Linked DNA regions of Saccharomyces cerevisiae S288C. The protein of the gene in region 2 binds, or shares a complex with, the protein of the main gene of each other region. Each region holds a gene or a part of one and is shown on either strand. Other genes may lie near its edges. A codon is read from its position in the direction of its gene.

Region 1 (7,716 bases), on a different chromosome or scaffold from region 2:
ATAAGACTTATACCTGCCCGTTTTCCAAAGTTCGTATAAACCTGTACCCCTAATGACTAAAGTTGGATAGATTTTCAACCCATCAGTCCTAAAATCAGGATTTTCAAAATACTCTTTGAACTGTTCAATATCTCTTTCCATCCCAACATTTGGTAAATCTGGCATCATGTGAGAAACAACCTTATAACCAGCATCTTTAGACACAGCAAAAGTTTCACAAACAGACCTAACGGTGTGTCCTCTATTAGTATCACGAGCAACGTCTTCGTACAAGGACTGAACACCAATTTCTAATCTGGTACAGCCATATTTTAACATATCGTCCAAATGTGTTTGCGTACAATAATCAGGCCTAGTTTCGATTGTTATACCAACACACTTCGTTAAACTTTGTTGCGAATAAAGAATAGCTTCATCAATATCATTACCATTGAACCCAGAAAGTGCATTATGCAATTTCACAATAAAATCTTCACGATATTCTTTTGGTAATGACATAAATGTACCACCCATCAGAACATATTCGACTTTATCGATGGAGTGACCTAACTGTTTCAATTGTTCCACCCTACCACGTGCTTGTTCATAAGGGTCATAACGAGCTCTGATGGCACGCATTGAAGTTGGTTCATAGCCTGTGTAAGATTGTGTAGAATACTCAAAATCTGAATCTGGACCACCTGGACAATAAACACAAATATTACCTGTATATGCAATGTGAGGACAACGATGTGGTTTACACATAACGGCTACCACTGCAATACCCGATGCTGTTCTTACTGGCTTAGCCTTCAATTTGGGTAATAAATATTTTTTGTATTGGTCTGGAATAGAATTAATGATATCGGTTAACCTTGGTTGTTGCTTTAGTTTATATTTCTTTGAATATTTAGTAATCAAACCATTCAGATTAATTTCTCTTGTTGTTCCCGAGGTTAAAGAATCTGTTAACTCTAATGTGATATCAGCACAACATTGTATAAACCTTTCCTTTTCAGGTGCTAGCTTTTTTTTGTTAGTTTTTGGGCCTTTTCCATGACGAGCCATCTTTGTCAGGGTGTTCTTCGATTTTCCTTAGGTGCTTTTAGGACTTGTTTATTTCAAAACTTTGCACTGGATAATTTGAGATGAGCTAACTAAATTTCAAAATTTTTTGACCATTTTTTTTTTTTCATGAGGAAGAGCCAGTGACAGTAAATAATAAAAGGTGAAATGATTAAACAATGAAAGCGGCAGAAAAATAAAATCAAACAGTGGCAGTATTGACTTTTGAAAATCAGAAGTTCATCCTAAGTTAAGACTTTCTTCTTTTAAGTGCTTTCTCCTTCTCTCACTGTCTTATCGCTGTATATCTCATTGTTGAATAATATAACACAACGTTATAAGTGATCATCACTTTCTGATCCATAATTTCAAACCTCAAGCGACCGTACATGTGGCATTTTCCACTATAAACTTACGAGCAAGAGAAAGATATACGGAAAAGGTTAATTGGCAGGTTACACAAGATTTTGGTCATTGAATATTTGCAGCCCTCCTGCTTGAGAAACTGGACAACAACTGTTATCAATATTCCCTTTTCAAAATAGTGGTATTTAACTGGCCATAACCAAGGAAACCGTTGTACCTATTATTTTGTATAGTCTTCATTTAATAACGTGTTAAGAATGACACCTGAAGCCAAGAAAAGGAAAAACCAAAAGAAGAAGTTGAAGCAAAAGCAAAAAAAAGCTGCTGAGAAAGCTGCTAGCCACAGTGAAGAACCACTTGAATTACCAGAAAGTACGATTAACAGCAGCTTCAACGACGACTCGGTGAACCGTACAGAATCTGACATAGCTTCAAAATCTGATGTTCCTCCGGTCTCATCATCTACCAATATCTCTCCGGCTAATGAAACACAACTAGAAATACCTGATACTCAAGAATTGCATCATAAACTGCTCAACGACTCTGATCAACATGATATTACCGCGGACTCAAATGATTTGCCAGACAACTCAATCGTTGAACATGACTCTGTTATTACCCAAACAAAACCAGCCATGTCTCAAGAATACGAAGAGACTGCCGCTCACTTATCTTCGAGAAATCCATCGCTCGATGTAGTCGCGGGAGAACTTCACAATAATAATGAACATACCCAGAAAATTGCCGTATCCGCTGTGGAAGAGGATTCTTTCAATGAAGAAGAGGGTGAAAATCACGACAGCATAATAATTTCATCATTAAACGATGCTACCCCTTCTCAATATAATCATTTTCTCCCATCCGATGGCAATCTTCTTTCTCCAGAATTATCTTCTGGTGATACGCCAACTCACAATGTTCCTCTAGGCACAAAAGACAATGAAATAAATGACGATGAGTATTGTAATGATAAGGAAATTAGTTTGAACGCAAATAATGTGCTTCCTGATGAACTTTCAAAGGAAGAAGATGAAAGATTAAAACTAGAAACGCATGTATCAACCGAAGAAAAGAAACAGGATATCGCTGATCAGGAAACTGCAGAAAACTTATTTACGTCTAGTACAGAACCATCTGAGAATAAAATAAGAAATTCTGGTGATGATACCTCCATGTTGTTTCAAGATGACGAAAGTGATCAGAAGGTTCCATGGGAGGAAGATGTGAAGAAAGATTTTCATAATGAGAACACAAATAATACTCAAGAATCGGCACCGAACACAGATGATCGTGATAAGGGTTATGAAGGAAACGAAGCTTTGAAAAAGTCCGAAAGTTGTACAGCCGCGGACGAGAGGTCGTACTCTGAAGAAACTTCAGAAGATATCTTTCACGGACACGACAAACAGGTAGTTGAAGGCCAAAATGATTTCACTGGGAAAAATATTGAGAATGAAAGCCAGAAATTAATGGGGGAAGGGAATCATAAGTTACCGTTGTCTGCCGAAGCTGACATTATAGAACCTGGTAAGGATATTCAAGATCAAGCCGAGGATTTGTTTACGCAGAGCAGCGGAGACTTGGGAGAAGTTTTGCCATGGGAATCTACTGATAAAAACGCTGATGTAACGAGCAAATCCCAAGAGAAACATGAAGATTTATTTGCTGCTTCTGGAAACGATGAGAAACTTCCTTGGGAAGTTTCTGACGGTGAAGTATCATCGGGAAAGACGGAAAACAGCATGCAGACTAGTACTGAGAAAATAGCTGAGCAAAAGTTTTCGTTTTTGGAAAACGACGACGACCTTTTGGACGACGACGACAGCTTTTTGGCTTCTTCTGAGGAAGAAGACACAGTACCTAATACCGATAATACAACGAATTTAACCTCAAAACCAGTTGAAGAAAAAAAGGCTTCAAGATATAAACCTATTATCGAGGAGGAAGCAGGAATGCGTCAAGAGCAAGTTCATTTTACCAATACTACTGGCATTGTAACACCGCAGCAGTTCCACGGTTTGACTAAAACTGGACTAGGCACCCCCAACCAACAAGTCAGTGTACCAAATATAGTTAGTCCTAAGCCTCCTGTGGTAAAAGACAATCGTTCAAATTTTAAGATAAATGAGGAGAAAAAGAAGTCTGATGCTTACGATTTTCCACTGGAAATTATTTCAGAAAGTTCCAAGAAGGGTCACGCAAAGCCGGTTGCCGTTCCTACTCAAAGGTTTGGCTCAGGGAATTCTTTTAGTTCTTTGGACAAACCAATTCCACAGAGCAGGAAAGGCTCTAATAACTCAAATAGGCCACCCGTGATCCCATTGGGGACGCAGGAGCCTCGATCTTCGAGAACTAACTCAGCGATCTCGCAATCTCCCGTTAATTATGCTTTCCCTAACCCATACAAAATTCAACAACTACAACAGGCTCCTATCCAATCAGGTATGCCTTTACCAAATACCAACATACCTCCCCCAGCATTAAAAGTGGAAACCACCGTTTCTGCTCCTCCAATTCGGGCAAGAGGGGTCAGCAATGCCTCCGTGGGAAGTTCAGCGTCTTTTGGTGCTAGACATGCAACACAGTACGGCCTCAATAACGGGGTACCTCCGGTTTCGCCATATGGTCAAGCTACCATAAATTTGCCAACTGCGAATAAGTATGCCCCCGTCTCTCCTACAGTTCAGCAGAAGCAATATCCATCAGTTGTGCAAAACCTTGGCGCTTCGGCCGTAAATACCCCCAATTTTGTAAAGACCCATAGAGGCCATACAAGCTCTATTAGTTCGTATACACCAAACCAGAATGAACACGCCTCTAGATACGCACCCAACTATCAACAATCTTATCAGGTGCCATATACCTCACAACCTGTTGGTCCTGTAGCTGGGAATTCAAGCTATCAAAGCCAAACCCGAAGTTCTTATGCAGTTCCTATGATGCCCCAGGCTCAAACTTCAGCAAGTATTCAGCCTCACGCGAACATTCAACCGCCTACTGGCATTTTACCTTTAGCCCCCTTACGACCTCTAGACCCCTTACAAGCCGCTACGAACTTGCAACCCCGTGCAAGCAACATAACGGCTGCAAATTCACTACCTCTTGCAAATTTGCCACTTGCTGAAAACATACTGCCAGAAATTATCACGCATCGAGCTACAAGTAGTGTTGCACCACCACGACAGGAAAATAATCCAATTAAAATAGACAACGAGGCTTTATTACGCCGTCAATTTCCGATTTTTCATTGGAGTGCTGCAAACAAGGTCGTGTACGCAGTCCCCCCTATCCCTGACCAATCGCAGTACATGATTTCATCAAGCATTGTACAGGAAATAAAAGTGACACCAATTGACCAGATAATTAAACCGAACGATATGCTCAAAAGCTTCCCAGGTCCTTTGGGTAGTGCCAAATTAAAAAAAAAGGATTTAACCAAATGGATGGAAACCACTATTAAATCCATATCTGAAAATGAATCATCCACTGATATGACTATATGGCAACTATTGGAAATGAAACTAAACGATAAAGTTAACTGGAAAAATATTTCAAAACTACTATACAATTCTGACGAACTTTTAATGTACCTATCTCAGCCCTTTCCAAACGGTGACATGATTCCAAATGCATATAGACTGGATATAAATTGTCAGATGAGAGTCCTGGCGTTCTTACAAACGGGAAATCACGATGAGGCACTTCGCTTAGCTTTAAGCAAGAGGGATTATGCCATTGCACTATTGGTTGGCAGTTTAATGGGTAAAGACAGATGGTCTGAAGTCATTCAGAAATATTTATATGAAGGGTTTACTGCGGGGCCAAACGACCAAAAAGAATTGGCACACTTTCTGCTCCTTATCTTTCAAGTATTTGTTGGTAACTCCAAAATGGCCATAAAAAGTTTCTACACTAATAATGAGACCAGTCAATGGGCATCCGAAAACTGGAAGAGTATCGTTGCAGCTGTTCTGATTAATATCCCAGAAAATAATGAAGATCCACTACTTATACCACCTGTTGTCCTTGAATTTTTGATAGAGTTCGGTATATTCCTCACCAAAAAGGGCTTGACAGCCGCAGCTAGTACATTATTTATTATTGGTAACGTACCACTTTCTAATGAGCCAGTAATGGCAGATTCAGACGTTATATTTGAAAGTATTGGAAACATGAATACTTTTGAAAGCATTCTATGGGATGAAATCTACGAGTATATATTCTCGTATGACCCTAAATTCAAAGGATTTTCATCTATTTTGCCCCAGAAGATATACCATGCATCTCTTTTACAAGAACAAGGTTTGAACAGCCTGGGGACAAAGTATACTGATTACCTCAGTTCCTCAGTTCGAAAACTGCCTAAGAAAGATATTTTAACAATAAACCTCACTCGTGAATTGAGTGAGGTGGCTAGTAGGCTTTCCGAGTCTAATACAGGATGGCTTGCAAAACCAAAACTAAGCAGCGTATGGGGTCAATTAGATAAATCCTTCAATAAATATATTGGTGGCGATGATATTGATGCATTGAATAAAAAAAATGATAAAAAGAAAGTTTTTGATGGGTTCACACCGGGATCTTCTGCCAATTCGTCAACTGTGGATCTCACCCAAACATTCACACCTTTCCAAGCTCAAGTTACTTCGCAAAGCTATGTGGATACTACAGCTCTTTTGCATAATGCCCATAATGTACCAAGCCATAGTGTGCTGCATTCAAAGCCTTCCAATGTGTCAAAGGGGTTAGTTGAAGCAAACTTACCGTATACGCATAGGATCGGTGATAGTTTGCAGGGATCTCCTCAGCGCATTCATAATACACAGTTCGCTGCTGCTGAGCCTCAAATGGCTTCTTTGAGAAGAGTTAGAACAGACCAGCATACAAACGAAAAGGCTTTGAAGAGTCAGCAGATTTTAGAGAAAAAGTCTACGGCCTACACTCCACAATTTGGACAGAACCATAGCGTTCCAATGGAAAAGTCTAATTCGAATGTGCCATCTTTATTTGCCGACTTCCCTGCTCCACCCAAACTTGGAACAGTGCCGTCTAATTATGTGTCTAGTCCTGACTTAGTAAGAAGGGAGTCTATCATATCTACCGGATCAGAATTTCTTCCTCCTCCCAAAATTGGGGTACCTACTAAAGCTAATTCCTCGCAGGGATCGCTTATGTACTCACCAAGTGTGGAAGCTTTGCCTATCGACCCTGTCGTCCCGCAAGTTCATGAGACGGGATACAATGATTTTGGTAACAAACATTCTCAAAAAAGTATGCCTGAAGATGAATCTCACACATCACATGATAATAGCAATGCTGATCAAAATACATTAAAAGACTCTGCAGATGTTACAGATGAAACAATGGATATTGAAGGACCTGGCTTCAACGATGTGAAGAATCTTCTTCCTATGGAGCCCAACCACCAGCCTACGTCTACAGTAAATCCTATACAAACTATTAGTGACGATATCCAACCGATTCTTCAAACTAACGTGGAGGTCCGGGGTACTGATGCATCGAAAATGGAAAATTCACTTCCCTCCATTGAAAATGAAAGAAGTAGCGAGGAGCAGCCAGAAAACATTTCAAAATCAGCATCATCAGCATATTTACCATCAACTGGTGGATTGTCACTCGAAAACAGACCGCTAACTCAGGATGAAAACAGTATCTCAGAGACAGTTCAATCCACATACTTGCCAGCAGGAAGTATTTCAATGGAAGCTAAACCAATTTCTCAAGTGCAAGATGTTCCAAGAAATGTTAATAATAAAGCATCCAAACTTGTGGAGCAACATATGGCACCACCAAAGCCAAAAAGTACTGACGCAACCAAAATGAACTACTCACCATACGTGCCTCAATCAACTGCCGCTAGTGCAGATGGCGATGAATCAACGATTCTGAAAACATCGCCTGCTATATATGCAAGAACTCACCAAGCACATGCATCCAATCCATCACAATACTTTCCTTTGGTCAACCAAGCAAATGAAACTGCTTCATTCGAATTATCTGAATCAACATCCCAGGCACAAAGTAATGGAAATGTTGCTTCAGAAAATAGATTCAGCCCAATAAAGAAAGCCGAAGTCGTCGAGAAAGACACTTTTCAACCTACTATTAGGAAGGCTTCAACTAACCAATACAGGGCTTTTAAACCGTTGGAATCAGATGCGGATAAATACAATGACGTTATTGAAGATGAATCCGATGACGACAATATGTCTACTGATGAGGCAAAGAACAGAAAGGAAGAAAAAAAGAATGTGAATATGAAAAAGGAAACAAAACCAAGTAACA
Region 2 (3,414 bases):
AGGAAAAGAACTACGAGACCAGATATTGGTTCACCCTTTATTGCGCAAGTTAACGGTGTACAGATGACCTTGCAAATCGAACCGATGGGTAGGTTCGCTTTCAACGGTAACGATGGCAACATAAATGGCGACGAAGATGACGAGGATGCCAGTGAAAGACGAATCATTCGGATATATTATGCAGCTTTGAATGATTATAAAGGAACATATTCACAAAGCAGAAATTGTGAGCGCGCCAAAAACTTGTTGGAATTAACGTACAAGGAATTTCAGCCTCATGTCGACAATTTGGATCCTTTGCAAGTATTTTACTACGTCCGTTGCTTACAATTATTGGGGCACATGTATTTCACCGGCGAAGGCTCCTCGAAGCCTAATATTCATATGGCCGAAGAGATCCTGACCACGTCGCTAGAAATAAGCAGAAGGGCACAGGGACCTATAGGTAGAGCGTGCATAGATCTGGGCTTAATAAATCAATACATCACAAACAATATTTCTCAAGCAATTTCGTATTATATGAAAGCTATGAAAACACAAGCTAACAATGGAATCGTAGAATTCCAATTATCCAAATTGGCCACTTCATTCCCTGAAGAAAAAATCGGCGACCCATTTAACTTAATGGAAACTGCCTACTTGAATGGATTCATTCCAGCCATATATGAGTTTGCAGTAATGATCGAATCTGGAATGAACAGTAAGAGTAGTGTGGAAAACACTGCTTACCTGTTCAAAACATTCGTTGACAAAAACGAAGCTATTATGGCACCTAAACTGAGGACAGCATTTGCCGCATTAATCAACGATCGTTCAGAAGTGGCTTTATGGGCTTATTCCCAACTAGCCGAGCAAGGCTACGAGACTGCTCAAGTCTCTGCCGCCTACTTAATGTACCAGTTGCCATATGAGTTTGAGGATCCTCCAAGAACCACAGATCAGAGAAAAACTTTGGCAATTTCCTACTATACAAGAGCGTTTAAACAGGGAAATATAGATGCTGGTGTTGTCGCGGGAGATATCTATTTTCAGATGCAGAATTACAGTAAAGCTATGGCTCTTTATCAGGGTGCAGCTTTGAAGTACTCTATACAGGCTATCTGGAACTTAGGGTACATGCATGAGCATGGGCTAGGTGTAAACAGAGATTTCCATCTTGCTAAACGTTACTACGACCAAGTTTCAGAACACGATCATAGATTTTACTTGGCTTCCAAATTGAGTGTTTTAAAATTACACCTAAAGTCATGGTTGACTTGGATCACCAGAGAAAAAGTAAACTACTGGAAACCTTCCTCGCCACTTAACCCTAACGAAGATACTCAGCACTCGAAGACTTCATGGTACAAGCAATTGACGAAGATTCTACAAAGAATGAGACATAAGGAGGATAGTGACAAAGCTGCGGAAGATTCTCACAAACACAGAACTGTAGTGCAGAATGGAGCTAACCATAGGGGTGACGACCAAGAGGAGGCTTCCGAGATTTTGGGCTTCCAAATGGAGGATCTTGTTACGATGGGATGTATCTTGGGGATATTCCTATTAAGTATATTAATGAGTACACTGGCGGCCCGTAGAGGCTGGAATGTCCGTTTCAATGGAGCACAATTAAATGCAAATGGTAACCGGCAGCAAGAGCAACAACAACAACAACAAGCACAAGGTCCCCCGGGCTGGGACTTCAATGTTCAGATATTCGCCATATGATGTGGTTTGTATAGATATATACATAGACTATCCATAGAAATCACCCACGCATTACCCGAAAGTTTTCAATAAAGCGAACAGCGAGAAGAAAAAAAGCGAAACCGACAGAGAATTACCACCCTAGAGCTTTAACCCCATTGAGATCAACACAATTTCGAACAGTGAAAGTGCATTGGCGAAGGTGATACAATTGGCTTCCAGCTCTGAATAATAATAACTTACAAGCGCAAAGATAACAGATAATTTTATATCAGCATACAAATGGTCGTCATAGCTAATGCGCACAACGAATTAATCCATGACGCTGTTCTAGACTATTATGGGAAGCGCCTTGCAACCTGCTCTTCTGACAAGACAATCAAGATCTTTGAAGTCGAAGGAGAAACACACAAGTTAATAGACACGTTGACTGGCCACGAAGGCCCAGTTTGGCGTGTTGATTGGGCACATCCTAAATTCGGAACCATTTTGGCATCGTGTTCTTATGATGGTAAAGTGTTGATTTGGAAGGAAGAAAACGGTAGATGGTCTCAAATTGCCGTTCATGCTGTCCACTCTGCTTCTGTCAACTCTGTTCAATGGGCTCCTCATGAATATGGCCCCCTACTGCTGGTTGCTTCCTCTGATGGTAAGGTCTCCGTAGTAGAGTTCAAAGAAAACGGTACTACTTCCCCAATAATCATCGATGCTCATGCCATTGGCGTTAACTCTGCTTCTTGGGCTCCAGCTACCATCGAAGAAGATGGTGAACACAACGGTACTAAAGAATCTCGCAAGTTTGTTACTGGGGGTGCTGACAATTTGGTAAAGATTTGGAAGTACAATTCAGATGCCCAAACTTATGTTCTGGAAAGCACCTTAGAAGGTCACAGCGATTGGGTTAGAGACGTAGCATGGTCACCTACTGTTCTTCTACGTTCTTATTTGGCCAGTGTTTCTCAAGATCGCACCTGTATTATTTGGACTCAAGACAATGAACAAGGCCCATGGAAAAAAACTTTATTAAAAGAAGAAAAATTCCCAGATGTTTTATGGAGAGCCAGTTGGTCTTTGTCAGGTAATGTACTAGCTCTTTCCGGTGGCGATAATAAAGTTACTTTATGGAAGGAAAATCTTGAGGGTAAATGGGAACCCGCTGGTGAAGTTCATCAGTGAAGAGTATCAAGAATTTAAAATGAAACATCTCAAAAGAAAAAAGAATGCAAATGAGTCTATCGACGAATTTGAAGGGAAATAAACGCATAATGTACAGTAACGTATAACAATTAAAGATTTGTGGAAGTTTTCAAAAACTTTTCAACTTTTTTCTTTGTTTTTTTTTTGCAACTTCTTATATTAATATTGTCATAGATATTTCTTATACAAAAACAAGCGAACAAAAATAATCGACGTATATACAATAGATATATAAGACTGTTTTTCTTCAATAGAACAGGCGAAATTATTCTACCGGCCGAAGGTACATCTTCCCGCTATGTAATAAATAGAGGTATTTAAGTTATAACAATTATAATTCCCCCATTACGGCAGCAATTAAGTTTTGCACGTCATTAGAGGCGATTTTACCATTCTCCAGTACTTCAGCGTGAGTCGCTTTGCCTTTTTCTAAGGGTACAGGTGATTCGTCCAACGCACTGGCAGGGCTATCCACCACGCAAGTATTGGTAATCAAACTTAAGGCCAAAACCCTCCATCCGCAATGTC
Region 3 (6,594 bases), on a different chromosome or scaffold from region 2:
AATTCTCATTATATCGTCCGGTAATTGGGGCATCAACCCTCTCACACCACTGATAACGTCTGGTGCGAGGTTGATATACGGCAATTCTGGATCAGGCATGTACCTGTAATCGATCGTGGTTTCTTTGCTTCTCAACTTCACCGTTGATGAGCCTGTCCAGCCCCTTGTTTCTGGCTCCATCAGTGAGCTAGTGTCACCCACAGAAATCAACTCAACTTGCCGCTGATATTCGTACTTGATTGCATTGATGATGGAACTAGTATTGGGTAAATTCTTCAACTCAACGCGTGCATATTCATTAATTGAGAGGTTAACGTCCACTCGCATGGCGCCCGTTTCCAGGTCCCCAGAGGAAATGTGCAAATGACGTACCAAATTCTGATATTTTTTAATAAACGCTCTAACCTGTTTAATATCACTGAAATCTGGTTTAGTTACCAATTCGATAAGCGGGACGTTCGACCTATTTAAATCAACCAAAGTAATAACGTCTTTATCTGTCTCTGTATAGTGTGACTTCCCCGTGTCCTGCTCTATCTGCAACTGTAAGATACCGATTTCCTTGGCTGATTCATCGATATCATCCAATTCCTTCGACAGATTGATCTTCCCACCCCGAGCAAACGGCCTGTAGTGCTGCGTCAGTTGATAGCCTTGAGGTTGATCTCCATAAAAATAATGCTTCCTATCAAACTGAGATATGCTATTCACTTGAGAACCCAGTGCCAAGGATAGTTTCATGGCAAACAAGATTGCTTCCAGATTCAAAACCGGCTGCGTTCCCGGTAGAGCTATGTCATAATAACTAGTATGATGGTTTGGTGCATCCACTAGAGATGTGGCGCTATTCGTTGATTGTGAAAAAAGCTTGTTTTTGGTGTTCAATTGCGTATGAATCTCCAATCCACACTTCAATGCATATTCCGGCCTGAAGGGTGCACCGTGACTATGTATGGCTTTGGTTCTGGCCAAAGAATAAAAACGTGCAAGCCGCAACATATCTAGTTCCTACTCTGGTCTTTTTGGACAGGAATGCTAACAATAACACTATTACTAGGTGGTACGACTAAGTACATCACGTCAAGCTTATTACTACTATAACTACTATTATCATAACAAAAGGGAAAACTAAACCCTATCTAAACAAGGGTTATTTAAATTTTTAACAAGGGCATACAACAAAAAAATAATAAACCTAAAATCAGAAAGTTAATCTTTCAGGGCTTTTGAAAGTGGAATTAACGTCTCTAGTAAACGAGGATTGTTTCCAATGAGATTCTAAGACCCAAATATCCTCTTCTTTACTTTGAAATGTTTGCAATGGACCATGATTATGGATGTGTTCTTTGTGACACGCTTTCAATGTACTCTATATCGTGTTGCACGAAGGATTGTTACTTTATTTGTAAAAAAAAAAACAATTTTTCGAGATGGGACATTAATATTGTAGAATTCTGAACATATTAGTGAACAGTTCTTTCGGAGAATTACTGGAACCTAGGATCTGACAAGCGGACAAAAAAGCAGAGTGCGTTTATTACTTCTCTTTCTAGCGGTTGTTCATGTTTCAAAGTTTTTTCCACAACAATGGGCCCGCTGCTGCCGGTGAAACGTTTTCAGATAGCAGATCGTACCCTTTAACGAATCATCAAGAAGTACCCAGGAATGGACTGAATGAGTTGGCCTCATCTGCAACCAAGGCGCAACAACAACCTACACACATATTAAACTCATATCCAATTACCGGGTCCAACCCACTCATGAGGGCAAGCGCAATGGGGGCGACCTCTGGCAGCATCAATCCTAATATGTCCAACATGAATGAGCACATTCGTGTTTCCGGGATGGGGACTTCTAAGCCCCTGGACTTAGCGGGAAAGTACATTGACCATCTACAACATAAAGATAGTAACACTCCCGTACTCGACGAACGATCTTATTATAACAGCGGGGTAGATTATAACTTCAGCAGAGAAAAAAACGGCTTAGGAGCGTTTACTCCATTTGAAAAGCAAGATGTGTTCAACATTCCGGACGAGATTTTGCATGAATTTTCCACTTCACAGACAAAAACTGATATGGGTATTTTCCCGGAGTTAAATCGATGTTGGATAACTATTGATAATAAACTGATACTCTGGAATATTAACAATGACAATGAGTATCAGGTGGTAGATGATATGAAGCATACCATTCAAAAAGTCGCCTTGGTAAGACCTAAGCCAAACACCTTTGTGCCTGCCGTGAAGCATCTACTTTTGATAAGCACGACAATGGAGCTTTTCATGTTTGCTATTTCCTTAGACAAAGCCACCAACGAACTCAGTGTATTCAATACACATCTATCAGTCCCTGTACAAGGCATTGATGTAATAGACATTGTGTCTCATGAAAGATCGGGTAGAATTTTCTTCGCAGGCCAAGCCAGTGGCCTGAATATCTGGGAGTTGCACTACTCAGGTTCCGATGACTGGTTCAATAGTAAATGTAGTAAGGTCTGTCTGACAAAGTCTGCCCTATTAAGTCTTCTACCTACTAACATGTTATCGCAGATTCCAGGTGTTGATTTTATTCAGGCTTTGTTCGAAGATAATTCTAACGGTAATGGCGGATTTTCTCAAGAGACCATCACGCAACTAACTATTGACCAACAAAGAGGAATCATCTATTCATTATCCTCCAAATCCACCATTAGAGCATACGTAATAACAGAAAAATCACTGGAAGGACCCATGTCAATTGAGCCTGCCTACATCAGTAGGATCATAGGTACCACGACGGCAAGGGCAGCACCGATTTTGGGCCCCAAATACCTAAAAATTGTCAAGATAAGCTCTGTTGCACCAGAAGAAAACAACAATTTGTTTTTAGTTGCTTTAACAGTAGGTGGTGTGCGTTTGTACTTTAATGGTTCCATGGGCAGATTTAACATCGAAGCTTTGAGGTTAGAATCGATCAAGTTCCCCCCTAGTTCTGTAACTCCTGAAGTCATCCAACAAGAATTACTACATCAACAACAGGAACAGGCGAAGAGAAGCTTTCCTTTCTTTTCAAATCTAATGTCTTCCGAACCAGTCCTCTTAAAATTCCAAAAGAAATCATCTGTATTACTAGAGACTACAAAAGCAAGTACAATTATTTCCCCAGGCATATTTTTTTCCGCTGTGATCAAGTCATCTCAGCAAACTCATCAACAAGAAAAAAAAGAGAACTCATCTGTTACTGGAACGACCGCTACCGCAGGGTCTAAAACTGTCAAACAACAGCCAGTTACTTTACAACATAAGCTTTTCGTTAGTGTTCCAGATTATGGTATCTTGAAAACACACGGTAAGTACGTTGAAAATGCCACGTTTTTGGAAACTGCGGGCCCAGTTCAACAAATTATTCCCTTATCGGGGTTGTTTAATGCAACGACAAAGCCACAAGGATTTGCTAACGAATTTGCGACACAGTACACATCAGAAACTTTAAGGGTAGCAGTTTTGACGAGCACTTCTATCGAAATTTATAAATATCGTACTCCTGATGAAATTTTTGAGGATCTAATCGATAATCCGCTGCCATTCGTCTTAAATTATGGTGCCGCGGAAGCTTGTTCCACTGCATTGTTTGTTACTTGCAAATCAAATAAATCTGAAAAATTAAGATCTAATGCCCTGACTTTTTTAACTATGGGTATTCCTGGCGTTGTTGACATCAAACCTGTCTACAACCGTTATTCTGTATCTACAGTATCCTCTTTATTGTCAAAGCCCACTTTATCAACCGCAACAACTAATCTCCAACAATCAATAACTGGCTTTAGTAAACCCTCCCCTGCAAACAAGGAAGATTTTGACTTAGATGACGTAATATTATCCCCCAGATTTTACGGTATTGCATTATTGATTACCAGACTACTTCGAGATATTTGGGGGAGACATGTCTTCATGACTTTTACAGATAATAGGGTGACATCCCATGCTTTCATTTCTTCTTCTGATCCAATCACTCCATCTATTAATAACCTAAAAAGTGATGAAATTTCACAAAATAGGAACATAATATCAAAGGTTTCTATTTCCAAGGATTGTATCGAGTACTATCTATCTTCAATTAACATTTTAAATGAATTTTTCATCACTTATGGTGATTCAATTTCCCAAATATCAGCTCCCTACGTATTAGCGAACAATTCTAACGGCAGGGTTATTGATAAAACAGAAGAAGTTGCAAACCAAGCGGAAAGTATAGCGATTAATGCGATGATCAAAATGGTACAGTCCATAAAGGAAGGTCTATCATTCTTGAACGTTTTATACGAGGAAAGCGAAGTCGAAGGATTCGACAACCAATACCTTGGTTTCAAGGATATAATCAGTTTTGTAAGCTTGGACGTCCAAAAAGATTTAGTCAAACTAGATTTTAAAGATTTATTTGCTCCAAATGACAAAACAAAATCATTAATTAGAGAAATTTTATTATCCATCATCAATAGGAATATCACCAAAGGTGCGTCGATAGAGTATACCGCAACAGCTTTACAAGAACGCTGTGGATCATTCTGCTCTGCAAGTGATATATTAGGATTTAGAGCCATTGAACATCTTAGAAGGGCTAAAGAAATTGGCTTGCGTAACTATGATTCTCTAAACTATCACCTGAAAAATGCTACTGCTTTACTTGAACAAATTGTGGATGATCTTTCTATCGAGAAATTGAAAGAAGCTGTATCAATGATGCTGAGTGTAAATTATTACCCAAAATCTATTGAATTCTTATTGAATATTGCCAACTCTATGGACAAAGGCAAACTAGCTTGTCAATATGTGGCAAATGGATTTTTAGAAAATGATGATAGGAAACAATATTACGACAAACGTATCTTAGTTTATGACCTAGTTTTTGATACTTTAATAAAAGTAGACGAACTTGCCGAAAAAAAACAGTCATCAAAAACTCAAAACCAAATTTCGATATCGAATGACGATGAAGTGAAACTGAGACAAAAAAGTTATGAAGCCGCCCTAAAATATAACGATAGATTATTCCACTATCATATGTATGATTGGCTTGTGTCTCAGAACAGAGAGGAAAAACTATTAGATATTGAAACTCCATTCATACTCCCTTATTTAATGGAAAAGGCAGGTAGTTCATTGAAGATATCTAATATACTCTGGGTCTATTATTCAAGAAGATCTAAATTTTTCGAATCTGCTGAAATTCTTTACCGTTTAGCTACATCGAATTTTGACATCACATTGTTTGAAAGAATTGAGTTTCTTTCACGCGCCAATGGTTTTTGCAACAGTGTGTCACCATTAAGCCAGAAACAAAGAATTGTACAATTAGCTAGTAGGATCCAAGATGCATGTGAAGTTGCTGGTATTCAAGGTGATATATTGTCGCTCGTGTATACAGACGCAAGAATAGATTCAGCCATTAAAGATGAGCTGATCAAAACTCTAGATGGTAAAATATTGAGCACAAGTGAGCTGTTTAATGATTTTGCTGTACCCTTAAGTTACCATGAAATTGCCCTATTCATTTTCAAGATAGCAGATTTTAGGGACCATGAAGTAATTATGGCCAAGTGGGATGAGCTATTCCAATCTTTGAGGATGGAATTTAATAATACCGGAAAGAAAGAAGATTCAATGAACTTCATCAACTTACTGTCTAATGTACTGATTAAAATTGGTAAAAATGTTCAGGATTCTGAATTCATTTTCCCCATTTTCGAACTCTTTCCCATTGTCTGTAATTTTTTCTACGAAACACTACCTAAGGAACATATTGTATCAGGGTCGATAGTTTCTATATTCATAACAGCGGGTGTTTCTTTCAACAAAATGTACTATATTTTAAAAGAACTAATCGAGACATCAGATTCCGATAATTCCGTATTTAATAAAGAAATGACCTGGTTAATTCACGAATGGTACAAATCGGACAGGAAATTTAGGGACATTATTTCCTACAACGATATCATTCACTTGAAGGAATACAAAATTGATAATGATCCAATTGAAAAGTACGTTAAGAACAGCGGCAATAATTTGGGGATTTGTTTCTACAAAGAATAAAAATTCATGTTCGACATATAGATAGCAGGGTAATGTACGTGTATATTTTAATGTAATAAAGAGGCCTTACTAGACGGTAAAGTTAAGAATATCGAGTGAACTTTTCCTTAAGATAAAGGTAAATATAGTCGAGTATTTATTTATTATTCTTTTCCACTATACAGTATTTAAAATTCTGTAAGAAATTGATTCTACATACATAAGACAAACGAACAGGTCAGAGAGAATCAGATTTTTGGTTAGCAAGAATACATTTTGGAGAAGAAAGACATTAACTCCACCTTACTGTATCATCTTATTTGCTTTTTCACTCCTTCCTAATATTTTTTTTATTTTATTTTGAATTTCTTCCTATTTCTGATGCATTGAACAGATCGTAATCTGTAAGTAAATACCATAACGTGCTCACATTTGTCTCCAAATACTGGTGAAATCTTGGCTCCGTTGTGTACAAAACTTCTTAATGAATATATATATATTTTTCCCTTATTTTATCTTTTTTTTTCGAATTTTTTATGTAAAC
Region 4 (3,589 bases), on a different chromosome or scaffold from region 2:
AAATTGAGACAGATAATTTAACCAGACACCTAATCTCTTTAAATTTATTTTACCATGTTCATTAATGTAGCCATCAGTATGTAAAAGAGCTTCTTTGAACGTTTGTAACAAAACGGGAAATGCTCCTTTGTTAAGGTGCAAATCTGGCAAATTGGGCAAGAAATCATTACCAATGACGAACATGACAAGAATAAAATCATCCAAAATACGTTCAAAATTGTATTCAAATTGCATTTCATCGGCAATTTCTTTGAATTCCAACTCCATGTATTCTCTTAATAAAGAAAGATGTAATAAGTAGAAATTTTGATGTTCAAGCGATTTTTTTTCACTATTTCTTCTACCAAATGTCACTTCTTCTCTCAATAACGCAAAATGTGGCCCATGAGTAGACAAACCCAGCATAATCAAATCTGCGTCAAGACCGTAAATACAATGTCTCGTATTCTGGTTGAAATCCTTTTGGGATTTTAAATGCCTTATAAAGTTCATGATCTTGTGTTCACCTTCACCTGGAACTTCATGGCCAGAAAATATGATTTGCACTTCCCTCCATTTGGAATCGTTAGAAATCTTGTCGTGAATAAAATATTGTAAGTTTTTGGTCAATTTGGCCATAAACTCCGTACCTGGAGTAATAGAATTCGAATCAAATGGCTCACCCTTAGGAATCTCGTCACCATTCTCAATAGCCTTCTTCAAGGCTTTTTCTGCATCCATAGCGGTTCTGAATCTACGAGCTCTTTGTTGATTCATCTTGGCACGAGGGGCCACACCATCAATAGCCATGTAGAAAATCTTCTTGGGCTTGATTGTTTGAAAAAGGTGATCGATATACGTACAGATTTTTGCAAAAACCTCTTCTTCAGTTAATCGCTTGGTTACATCATCGTCGTTACCATGCGTACAATTATGTAAAATCGAATTCATATCCAGGTATAAGTTATCAAACTCAGGAATCTGTGTTCCCTCAATAAGCTGTAAAATCATGGGCCATCTTTCTGAGATGTACCTGAAAAATTTTGGAATACCCATACCGTACTGATATATATTTGTTGCTGCTGTTGTTACAAGTGTTGATTTTTTTTCTCCTTATAGTACACGAATCGTCCTAGGATTAGTCAATTGCTTATTGTGAACCCGATTATAAGTACGGAAGAAGACAGTATCCTTTAGAAAATAAACTATTAACAGGAACGGAAATAAAAGGCAGAGAGAAAATAATAAAAGAATCGGTTCGCTTGTGCGAACGCCAAACAGATTTTATAATAACGGAAGAGCTGCTGAAAAAAAAAGCAAGCTGCAACTGTTATATTTGCGTAGATAAACTTTACAACCGGTAATTGGAAGTCGTAAGTACTTAGTTTGACGTTTTCAGTACTCGTTAAACTACTCCTTAAATTGCTTTCTAACCTCTTCTTGTTTGTCTCTGTTGTTACTTGCTCTGCGGTGGCGAAAAGACGAGCAAAGGAGGTTGTATATATCACTCAACACGGAATGTATTACAGCTTTCTCAAATAAATGTAGTTGAAAAAGACCATTAATCGTGAGAATAGTTACTGATCAGGTGATGAGACGATAAAAACAGTAATTGAGAGGGTTTTCACGGGTAGTGGGCACAATGTTTGGATTAAATAAAGCATCTTCGACACCTGCAGGTGGGCTCTTTGGTCAGGCCAGCGGAGCTAGCACTGGAAACGCGAATACTGGGTTTTCGTTTGGTGGGACTCAAACTGGACAAAACACCGGCCCAAGTACAGGTGGACTATTTGGCGCTAAACCAGCCGGATCTACAGGAGGATTAGGTGCATCATTTGGTCAGCAGCAACAACAATCTCAGACAAATGCATTTGGAGGAAGCGCCACCACCGGAGGGGGCCTTTTCGGTAACAAACCTAACAATACGGCGAACACTGGGGGCGGGTTATTTGGCGCTAATTCGAACAGTAATTCTGGCAGTTTGTTTGGTTCCAACAATGCACAGACGAGTCGTGGTTTGTTTGGTAATAATAACACTAATAATATCAATAATAGTAGTAGTGGCATGAATAATGCAAGCGCTGGACTATTTGGCTCTAAACCTGCAGGAGGCACTTCTTTGTTCGGTAATACAAGCACCTCTTCGGCCCCTGCGCAGAACCAGGGCATGTTTGGTGCAAAACCAGCTGGTACATCTCTATTCGGCAATAATGCAGGTAATACGACCACTGGTGGAGGGTTATTTGGCTCCAAACCGACAGGAGCAACGTCTTTGTTTGGTTCATCAAATAACAACAACAATAACAATAATAGTAACAACATCATGAGTGCGTCAGGCGGGCTATTTGGTAATCAGCAGCAGCAACTGCAGCAACAACCACAAATGCAGTGCGCATTGCAAAATCTATCTCAGCTCCCTATTACCCCAATGACACGGATTTCCGAATTACCACCTCAAATACGTCAAGAAATTGAACAACTAGATCAATATATTCAAAAACAAGTGCAGATCTCGCACCATTTGAAGGCCGATACAATCGATCATGATGAATTGATAGATTCCATTCCTCGTGATGTTGCATACCTACTGAAGTCAGAATCTGCAACAAGTCAATATTTAAAGCAAGATTTGAAGAAAATATCCTCATTTAAATCGCTAATCGATGAGGACCTTCTAGACACGCAAACTTTTTCGGTGCTCTTACAGCAACTATTAACTCCGGGAAGCAAAATTTCTTCTAATGACTTAGACAAATTCTTTCAAAAGAAAATTCATCTCTACGAGAAGAAGTTAGAGGATTACTGCCGTATTCTCTCTGATATAGAAACTGCGGTAAATGGCATTGATACAGATTTATTTGGCGCCCCAAATAACCCTAATTCTACAGCTATCACAGCAGATCTAGGTTCATCCGAAGCAGAGAACCTACTGCAGTTGAAGACAGGCTTAGCTGCCATAGTCTCTACTGTCATTGAGGAATTCACACTGTTTATGGATATCGCTGAGAGAATCGCCGTGTTACATCAAAAAACGAAAACACTGGCATCATTGAGCATATGAGTAAATCGCCCTGAAAGTTTATATAGTGCGTATAACAAGTACAAATGTCTTGTACAAATGTAATTTATACTAAATGCAATAGAATATAACATCAATCACAGTTTTTCAGTCACCATAATGGCGTCTTAGAGGCCGAACTAACTTTTCTTCGTGAAAAATTTTTTGCGATGAGATGGGAAGGAAAAAAAGTAATATTGACATCTTCAATTGAGAGATATTACCTGCAAAAAGGTACATACGATAGTAGAAGTTATCGAACAGGCAAGCCACCATGGATATTTTTAGAGTATTAACTAGAGGAGCTTCCGTGAAGAAAGAGTCAGGCCCAAAGGCTAAGGCAGCAGATTACAGCGTTATAAATGGAAATGATGAGAATCATAAGGAAGATAATAATGAAAGCCAGATCGTGAAAGAACTTGATTTCTTTCGAAACAAGAGAATCATTAGCAAGGTAGAGGATGATAGAGAGAAGACAACCGAAAACGATTCTCCAAACAAAGAGGAGAAGAGCGGCAATGATGATGGTCTGATAAAACCAGTGATTACCAA

Evidence for each region.
Region 1: the proteins of SEC13 (region 2) and SEC16 are in contact, whole or in part, in a crystal structure (PDB 3MZK), measured with the Saccharomyces cerevisiae proteins. Residues at the interface, in NP_013309.1 of Saccharomyces cerevisiae: Met1 (codon at 1,972), Val2 (codon at 1,975), Val3 (codon at 1,978), Ile4 (codon at 1,981), Ala5 (codon at 1,984), Asn6 (codon at 1,987), Ala7 (codon at 1,990), Leu11 (codon at 2,002), Ile12 (codon at 2,005), His13 (codon at 2,008), Asp14 (codon at 2,011), Ala15 (codon at 2,014), Val16 (codon at 2,017), Leu17 (codon at 2,020), Asp18 (codon at 2,023), Tyr19 (codon at 2,026), Tyr20 (codon at 2,029), Gly21 (codon at 2,032), Leu24 (codon at 2,041), Thr26 (codon at 2,047), Val38 (codon at 2,083), His63 (codon at 2,158), His110 (codon at 2,299), Glu111 (codon at 2,302), Ala156 (codon at 2,437), Thr157 (codon at 2,440), Ile158 (codon at 2,443), Glu159 (codon at 2,446), Glu160 (codon at 2,449), Thr167 (codon at 2,470); in NP_015240.1 of Saccharomyces cerevisiae: Arg990 (codon at 4,635), Arg991 (codon at 4,638), Gln992 (codon at 4,641), Phe993 (codon at 4,644), Pro994 (codon at 4,647), Ile995 (codon at 4,650), Phe996 (codon at 4,653), His997 (codon at 4,656), Trp998 (codon at 4,659), Ser999 (codon at 4,662), Ala1000 (codon at 4,665), Ala1001 (codon at 4,668), Lys1003 (codon at 4,674), Val1004 (codon at 4,677), Val1005 (codon at 4,680), Tyr1006 (codon at 4,683), Val1008 (codon at 4,689), Pro1009 (codon at 4,692), Val1024 (codon at 4,737), Gln1025 (codon at 4,740), Glu1026 (codon at 4,743), Ile1027 (codon at 4,746), Lys1028 (codon at 4,749), Val1029 (codon at 4,752), Thr1030 (codon at 4,755), Ile1035 (codon at 4,770), Ile1036 (codon at 4,773), Gly1271 (codon at 5,478), Thr1273 (codon at 5,484), Ala1274 (codon at 5,487).
Region 3: SEC13 (region 2) and NUP170 share a complex: the UniProt entries of both Saccharomyces cerevisiae proteins name them as parts of the nuclear pore complex.
Region 4: SEC13 (region 2) and NUP49 share a complex: the UniProt entries of both Saccharomyces cerevisiae proteins name them as parts of the nuclear pore complex.

What each region holds. Positions count from the first base shown.
Region 1 is NC_001148.4:385,400-393,115, forward strand, and holds the start of SEC16 (COPII coat assembly protein SEC16), read left to right. Parts: upstream 1-1,667; coding exon 1,668-7,716. Other genes in the region: Elongator subunit ELP3, read right to left, coding at 1-1,047. UniProt on the Saccharomyces cerevisiae protein: Involved in the initiation of assembly of the COPII coat required for the formation of transport vesicles from the endoplasmic reticulum (ER) and the selection of cargo molecules. Also involved in autophagy.
Region 2 is NC_001144.5:557,580-560,993, forward strand, and holds SEC13 (GTPase-activating protein SEC13), read left to right. Parts: upstream 1-1,971; coding exon 1,972-2,865; downstream 2,866-3,414. Other genes in the region: ubiquitin ligase complex subunit HRD3, read left to right, coding at 1-1,710; PNP1 (purine-nucleoside phosphorylase), read right to left, coding at 3,218-3,414. UniProt on the Saccharomyces cerevisiae protein: Functions as a component of the nuclear pore complex (NPC) and the COPII coat. It is one of 5 proteins constituting the COPII coat, which is involved in anterograde (ER to Golgi) double-membrane transport vesicle formation.
Region 3 is NC_001134.8:73,697-80,290, forward strand, and holds NUP170 (Nup170p), read left to right. Parts: upstream 1-1,562; coding exon 1,563-6,071; downstream 6,072-6,594. Other genes in the region: glutamyl-tRNA(Gln) amidotransferase subunit PET112, read right to left, coding at 1-999. UniProt on the Saccharomyces cerevisiae protein: Functions as a component of the nuclear pore complex (NPC).
Region 4 is NC_001139.9:179,079-182,667, forward strand, and holds NUP49 (FG-nucleoporin NUP49), read left to right. Parts: upstream 1-1,621; coding exon 1,622-3,040; downstream 3,041-3,589. Other genes in the region: chromatin-binding exonuclease XRN1, read right to left, coding at 1-1,035; RNA-dependent ATPase ROK1, read left to right, coding at 3,312-3,589. UniProt on the Saccharomyces cerevisiae protein: Functions as a component of the nuclear pore complex (NPC).